Neurospora crassa OR74A: one gene and its partner. The protein of the gene in region 1 interacts with the protein of each later gene in a biochemical or structural test. Links are inferred from orthologs where the notes say so. Each region holds a gene or a part of one and is shown on either strand. Other genes may lie near its edges. The genes, in order: NCU03808 and NCU07058.

The links.
Region 2: the proteins of NCU03808 (region 1) and NCU07058 form a complex in vitro, tested with the Saccharomyces cerevisiae proteins (3 studies listed by BioGRID). The link is inferred for Neurospora crassa OR74A from reciprocal best matches to the Saccharomyces cerevisiae genes ECM16 and UTP14.

The regions. Positions count from the first base shown.
Region 1 is NC_026505.1:2,474,257-2,478,170, forward strand, and holds the start of NCU03808 (pre-mRNA-splicing factor ATP-dependent RNA helicase PRP16), read left to right. Parts: upstream 1-1,308; 5' UTR 1,309-1,377; coding exon 1,378-3,914. Other genes in the region: NCU03807 (hypothetical protein), read right to left, coding at 400-690, 752-904. UniProt on the Saccharomyces cerevisiae protein: Probable ATP-binding RNA helicase. Required for 18S rRNA synthesis. May play a role in restructuring of the pre-rRNA.
Region 2 is NC_026506.1:331,863-335,742, reverse strand, and holds the start of NCU07058 (small nucleolar ribonucleoprotein complex subunit Utp14), read left to right. Parts: upstream 1-810; 5' UTR 811-1,067; coding exon 1,068-3,635; intron 3,636-3,790; coding exon 3,791-3,880. Other genes in the region: NCU07057 (hypothetical protein), read right to left, coding at 1-30, 171-359. UniProt on the Saccharomyces cerevisiae protein: Involved in nucleolar processing of pre-18S ribosomal RNA.

The DNA of each region.
Region 1 (3,914 bases):
CCCTCTTGCCTTCAACATCATCCTATCATCCTATCATCCTGTTTGGATCCTTGCTCGAAATTGTCGATCTGCCTGGAGTCGCTTTTCGTTTGACACACATCTTTTGTGTTGCTGCAAGATCGGGCTCACTGCCCTCCATTGTTCTGTGTTCTACATCTCTAGGATTAAACTGGCCAGCAGCCCAGCCATCGTTCCCCTGTCTTCCCAGAACCTGCCTTAAGACAGACCAGCCCTCACTTACATCTTCTCAGCCGACCACATCCACCGAGTTGCGAACATGCTCATTCCCGATAACCACACATTTGGTTTCTACTCCCCGCTTCACCAGAACTGCTCATCGCGATAGCCTCAACTCGAACTTGTTACTGCGAGATATCGTTCACTCCATGACATTTACTATTAGAGGACTTGTTGTACCAACTCGACCACGTCATAGAAGGAGTCACTAGTAGTGGTGTCGACCTTCTCCAGGCCCAAACCAAGCAACAAAGACCGCTGCTCATTGGGGTTGCGCAAAGTCAGGAGACTGGCAATTTGACTGGCATAAAGCTGGCCCATGGTCTCCCTCTCCGCATTTCCACCTCCAAGAAGAGTCGTTGCTGTTAAATGTTCTGATGGTAACAGGCTACCGGCGCCAGGCAGAGCCATGTCTACTGACGCGGAAGAAGGTGCGGCTAGTTGTACTTGGACCTAGAACATGGTATGTTAGTAGACTGTAAGTGGGATGGCGTTCGGGCGCTCTTGAACCTACCCACTGAGCAAGGCGCCCACCTTGAGAAATGGTGACCATGATCTTGTCCGAGAAGTTCATTGATGAAACCTCAGTTTCCACTCCGTTGACAAGCCCAGTTGCCTGCCTGGAAGGTGACGGGAATGGCTCTTGCCTGACTGCGTCCTCAGACATGGTGAGTTCTGGATGTGGTGAAGTATGGACAGTTGCAAGACTCGAAAAACCGCGTGTGTTTCAAAGGATAAGACCGTAGGGGGATAACTTCGGCTTCTGTACTCCTGGTCGGATAGTACTCTCTGATGTCTCTACTGCGTTCATATTCAGAGTTTAGACGCGGGACTCCATCGTGATGTTTGTTGATGGAGCCGGAGTGGGCTGGGCTGCAGAGTTCAGGATGGACCCACGAAACATAGCAAACTGTACGCGCACTGTAGCTGGGTTACTTCAGTTGCTGTCCTGGACCCTCACAGGCCCCCAAAACGTGGGGTGCCACATTTAGCGCAGAAATTCTGCCAGGCGGACAAGATTTAATCTTCAAATCTTCAGGGTACTTGGTGACTTTCAGTTCGTTGCATTCTGCCGTCGCGACACCGGCCCTCATTTCTGCCGTCACTGCTCGCCTCGAGCACACCCGATAAAACAACAACATGGCTGTCATAGACGGGAAGTTCGTGCCGCGTCAGCGCAAGCGCAAGCAGCTTGATCGCCAGCGGTCGAGGAGTAAGGGAACACAAGACCCCGAAGACACCAACGTCCTCGAGATCGCTCCTGGACAGGAAACCACCACGGATGCCGAAAAGAAGAAGACCGAGCTACGGGAGGAATTGAGGCCTGCGGGTGTCAAGGTCAGCAGCAAGAAGGCCAAGAGACTCGAAAAGTACATCGACACAAAGCTCAAGAAGGACGAGAACCGCGAACTCCTGGCCAAGCTTGCCGCCAACAAGATCGACACCTCCCTATTCTCAAGCACAAAATCACTAGGCCAAACAAAATTGACCAAAAAGGAGGAGCTCAGCCGGCTTGTCAAGGAAGCAAAAGCTGGACTTATAACAGAGAAGGAGGCGGCCAAGAAACTTTACGAAAAGCGAGAGGTGAAGGAAGGTGCACCAGTACCAAAGCCTAAACCCACGGTCGACGAGGATTCAGAGGGCTCGGAAGATGAGCAGGACTCGGCAGCCGAGAAGCCAAGGAGCGCGCCAGCGGAAACAAGCGAGCCTACACCAGTACAAGCGACGACATCGTCAACAAGCCTGCCAGTACCTGTCGGTGCTGGTCTCAAGCGCCCCTTAGAGGTCGACGAGTCAGGACGCCCAATACTTGCCAAGAGACAAAAGAGAGGAGGTGTGAAAACGAAGCACAACTTTACATCATCGCAAGCTCCCGCAGTCATTCCTGTGCCGGAAGTGGTAGAATGGGACGGTTTCAGTTCGGAGGGCGAAGAGGGTTCAGACGATGAAGAGTCTGAGGGTAGTGGTTCAGGCAGCGAGGAAGAAGGCAGTGAAGAGGAGGAGGAGGAATCGGGAGAAGAGGATGGATCTGAAGAGAACGGAGAGGGTTCCGAAGATGATTCAGAAGACGATGATTCTGCGGAAGAATCCGACGAGGACATGGAGGACGCCGAGGAGGACAAGAAAGCAAAGTCTTCAGCCTTCAAGGCTTGGGCGCATCAGGCGAGGAACGAAGCTTTGGGTTACAAGCCTGCTGAATCAAGCATTCTCGAGATACCGAAACCTGCCAACTTTACGCCTCGGCCGATCGAACAAGAGCCTCTGCCTATCGAGCTGCAACCAACAAAGAACGATTCCCGCAAGGCTTTCGCCGTGGTAGTTACCAGGACACCCGAGATCCAGGAAACTCGTTTCAGGTTACCGGTTGTTGCAGAGGAACAGAAGATTATGGAGGCCATTCACGACAACGACATTGTCATCATTTGCGGTGCCACCGGTTCCGGCAAGACCACGCAGGTTCCCCAGTTCCTCTTCGAGTCCGGTTACGGTGTTCCGGATGGACCTACTCCTGGCATGATTGGTGTCACCCAGCCGAGACGTGTCGCTGCTGTCAGTATGTCGAAGCGTGTTGGCGAAGAAATGGGAGACTATTCACATGTGGTTTCCTACCAAATCAGATTCGAAGGCACCGTTGACTCCAAGACGGCCATCAAGTTCATGACGGATGGTGTCTTGCTTCGTGAGGCGGCCATCGATATTGCTCTTCGCAAGTACTCTGCCATCATCATTGATGAAGCCCACGAGAGAAGCGTCAATACCGATATCCTGATTGCGATGCTCAGCAGAGTGGTCAAGCTTAGGAGAGAGTTGGCGGAGGAAGACCCCACGATCAAGCCTCTCAAGCTGATCATCATGTCCGCCACCCTCAGGGTTGAGGAATTCACCCAAAACTCTAACTTGTTCCACACCACTCCTCGCATCATTGAGGTAGAAGGCCGTGAGCATGCTGTTACCATGCATTTTGCCAAAAAGACAAACCACGACTACGTTGATGAGGCATTCCGCAAGATTTGCAGGGGCCACAGGAAACTGCCCCCTGGTGGCATGCTTGTGTTCATGACCGGTCAGGGTGAAATTGCCCAGCTCAGCAAGCGGTTGAAGGCGCGTTTTGGTGGCGGTATGAACACCGCCAGCACCACCAAGGTGCGGATTTCTGCGAAGGAGGCACCCATGGAAGTCGAAGACATCGACTTTGGCGACGTTGAGGATGACCGTAACATCAACGACAGAGACGATGACGATATCTCCATTGCGTCGGACGAGGAGGAAGACAAGGAGTTCGAGATTGAGGACCAAGAATCTGGTACAGGGCCATTGAAGATGCATATCCTACCTCTCTTCTCTTTGCTCCCCACGAAAGAGCAGATGAAGGTGTTTGAGCCGCCCCCAGAGGGCCACCGTCTCGTCATCCTGGCTACCAACGTCGCTGAAACATCCTTGACAATTCCCGGCATCAAGTACGTTTTCGACACTGGAAGGTCGAAGGAGAGAAAGTTCGATCCTGTCAGTGGCGTCCAGAGTTTCGAGATTGGGTGGATCAGCAAGGCCAGCGCAAAGCAGCGTGCCGGTCGTGCCGGTCGTACCGGTCCGGGACACTGCTGGAGACTCTACTCCTCGGCCGTTTACGAAAGAGACTTCCCCGAGTTTTCAGAGCCCGAGTTGCTTCGCATGCCCAT
Region 2 (3,880 bases), on another chromosome or scaffold:
GCGGATGGTCTTGGAGACGAAGGGGGTGAGCTTTGTTGTTGTTGGATCTTGTTAGCATAATTCTTTTTTATTCTCTTTTGTCCTCCATTCTCGGTCCCTCCCCTAGCACCAGATCCCCCAACACATCCCATTCCAACCCCAAACCCGGACGGAAATAGAGGACCACCCACCTTGAAACCGGTCAGGTCCGGGCACACATAGGTGCGGACCTTGGTGTAGTCGATCTTGTAGGTACCGTAGCTGGTGTGCGTACCCATGGAACCGGTGCGGTTACCCTTGTAGAAACCCTTGTTGACGTCCTTGGTGGTCAGGCGCAACTTGCGGTACTTGAGACCTTGGAGGATGCGAGTGGGCTGCATGGTGGGCTAGGAGGATTGCGCTTTGCGGGGCAACGACGACGGAGAATTGCTTTTTGTGGTCGGTGATCTGGGTGGTGGAAGCACCTCGCTGTGGTGAGGGTGGTTGAGGTGGGCGCAAGTGGGACGGAGACGGGATCCGCTTTAGAGTGTTGAAGATCCGGCGCACGCGACAGGAACGGAGACGGGACTCGGACTCGGACTCGGACTGGCGCTGGACAACACGGACGGCGACGGGCAACGGGCGACGGGCGACGGGGTTGGAATCGAGAAATCGCAAAGACGTCCGGGGCCGCGCCGGGTTGAGGTGGAGCCATTTCAGAAGTTTGGAGCTCAATTGAGCCAATGACGTGAGGCTGGGAGAAACAGGTACCCCTGTAGCCTGCTGCGGCCCCGCAAAATGGGTGGGTGTTGCGCCCTCACCGCCCGAAAATTATCGATTACAGAGGCGGCAGAAAAAGTTTCGGGGGAGCTTGTTCACTGGCAGAAAGTTGAAGGCTTGGTGGGAGTTGCCGTTGAAGGGACCTGACCACTTCGACCTCCAGGACCCGTGCAGGCAAAAGTTGGACATTGACATCCATCGATTCATTCCATCCAACCACTGGACTTCGTCGACAATCTCATCACCCAATTTTTGCTTGCTCGACCTCGAACTTAATTGACTGAATTACCTTCCGACTTCCAATCAGTCAATTCTCAAATACCAGCAAAATGCCCGGCCGTCAAGCCCACGGCAGGCCTCTAATGCCCAAGTCGGGCGGCGGAGGGCGTCCCAAGCACAGAGTCAACAACAAGACTGCCGATAGGAAATCCAGAAACAACGTCCTCGACGCCTTCGCTATTGCCGCCGAACAAGTCCCCCAAAAGAAAGCCAAGGGCGTCCGCACACGAGACCTCGACGAGCCCGAAGAGCGCCCCCAGAAGAGACAACGAGATGGCGACGACGAAGACGATGAGGACGGAGACGAGGATGAGGAAGATCTCGAGGACGCCAGGCCACAAAAGAAGAAGGCCAAAAACAGCGACGATTTCGAAGGCTTCTCCGACGGTGGCGAGGACAGCGATGGCGAGGAGTGGCACGTTGGTGTAGGCGCTGATGACGAAGATTCCGAACTCGACTCTGATGAGGCCTTTGGTGAGAGCGACGAGGAAAAGTTCGATGGCTATGCCTTCAGCGGGAGCAGCTCCAACAAGAAGGGCAAGAAGGCGAAGAAGGGTGGAAACGACAGTGATGAGGAGGAAGAGGACGAAGATGAGGACGATGACTTGGAGTCGCTCGGTTCCGACGCCATCGATCTCGCCACAGCACTGGATCAGTATGAAAGCAGCGAGGAGGAGGAGGGCGAAGAGGAGTCAGGATCGGAAGACGACGCGGACAGCGAATCGAGCGAAAGCGAAGACAGTGACGACGATATGGAAGACCCTTCCAAGCTCGACGACCTCCAAAAGATGATCTCCGGGTTTGCGGGCGACGACAACGACGACGAGGAGCAATCAGGCTCGAAACCAACAAACAAACTCAGTCTCTCAGATCTCGGCCTCCTTGGCGTCCAGGACCCCCACATGAAGAAGTCTCTCAAGCTCATGAACAAGGAGGAAAAGGCCGCCAAGCCTGGGCAATCCAAGAAGCTCGACATCCCCCTCGCAAAGAGGCAACAAGACAAGCTCCTCCGCTCCGCCGCCTACGAAAAGACCTCCGAGACGCTCGAGCGCTGGATCGACACAGTCAAGCACAACCGCCGTGCGGATCACCTGGTTTTCCCCCTCGCGCAAAATGCCCACGACGCCGGCCTCGACAGTCAAGAACTCCTTCCCGTGACCAAGGCCACGGCGGGTACCGAGCTCGAACAGACCATCTTGGCCATCATGGAGGAATCCGGCTTGGGACCCACTAACAAGCCCAAGAAGGAGGACCAGGATAACGTCGAGGAGATTGCCGCTCGCAAGGGTCTCTCGGCCGCTGAGATGCAAGAAATCACCCGTCAGAAGCGCCGCGAGCGTGAGCTGTTCTCGCGCGAGCAGGCCCGCCAGAAGCGCATCAAGAAGATCAAGTCCAAGGCGTACCGTCGCATTCATCGCAAGGAGCTGCTCCACGACGAGCAGGAGATGCATGATGCCATGGTTGAGGCGGGAGAGATTGATTCAGAAGAGGAGCGCGAGGCTCTGGACAGGAGGCGAGCCCTCGAGCGCGTCGGTACTCGTCACCGGGACAGCAAGTGGGCCAAGCTCGGCAAGAAGGCCGGTCGCGCAGTGTGGGACGACAACTTCCGCGCTGGGTTGACAGAGGCTGCTCGCCAGAAGGAGGAGCTGCGCCGCCGGATCGAGGGACGCAGAAAGGGCGAGGAGGATTCTGAAGACAGTGGTTCCGACGATTACTCTGCCGAGTCTGGCGATGAGAAGAAGAACAAGAAACGGTTGCTGGAACAGCTCGAGCACGCTGCTTCCTACGCGGATGGCGAGGTCGAGTCGGGGCTGATGCAGATGAAGTTCATGCAACGCGGCGAAGCCCAGAAGAGGAAGGAGAACGATGAGATGATTGCGCAGATTCGCCGAGACCTCGATTCCGACTACGACTCTGACGATGTCGAAGAGACGGACATCGGTCGGAGGCAGTTCGGTATGGGCAAGACGGAGATCATACTCCCCGGCCAGCAGGCTGCTCAGAAGAAGAAGGAGAAGAAGAACATCACAAACGACATGTCCAATCTCCAAGTAACACCACAACAAGCAGCCACCACCCAAGTCGAGGACACTTCCCTCGCCGCCTCCGTCGCCGGTGCCTGGTCCAAGGCTCCCCAAGAAGGTCGCAAGAGCACCAAAAAGGCCGCCAAGGTCTCCGTCGGCGAGTTGGACCTCTCCAACGCCGCCATGCTCGCCTCCAAGCCCAAGCCCAAGTCCAAGGACGCCGCAGCAGCCAAGGACAAGAAGTCCTCTGCTCCCGCCACCACCACCCACGACGACTCCTCTTCCGACGACGAAGAAACGATCCATCTCCCCCTCGCCATCCGCGATCAAGAACTCATCAAGCGTGCCTTTGCAGGCGAGGACGTCGTAGGCGACTTTAACCGCGAAAAGGCCGAAGTGGAGAAGGAAGACGACGACAAGGAGATCGACAACACGCTTCCTGGCTGGGGCGGCTGGGTAGGCGAGGGCATCTCCAACCGCGAGAAGAAGAGGCACACAGGCCGGTTCGTCACCAAGGTGGAGGGCGTCAAGAAGGAGAAGAGGAAGGATTTCAAGCTCAAGGGGGTGATTATCAAGGAGGGACGGGTTAAGAAGGTTTGTTACCCCTTTTATTTTTACCCCTTTTTTCCCCTTTTTTTTTTTTTTTTTTTTTTTTTTTTTGGTCCTCGCTTCGCTCGATCTCTATGTCTATATGCGGAATGGGGGAAAGATGCAGTCATGATAAACGGACGCTAACAAAAAAACAATAGAACGACCAATACCTTGCCACTTCCCTCCCCCACCCCTTCGAAAGCCAAGCGCAGTACGAGCGCTCGCTCCGCATCCCCGTTGGTCCCGAG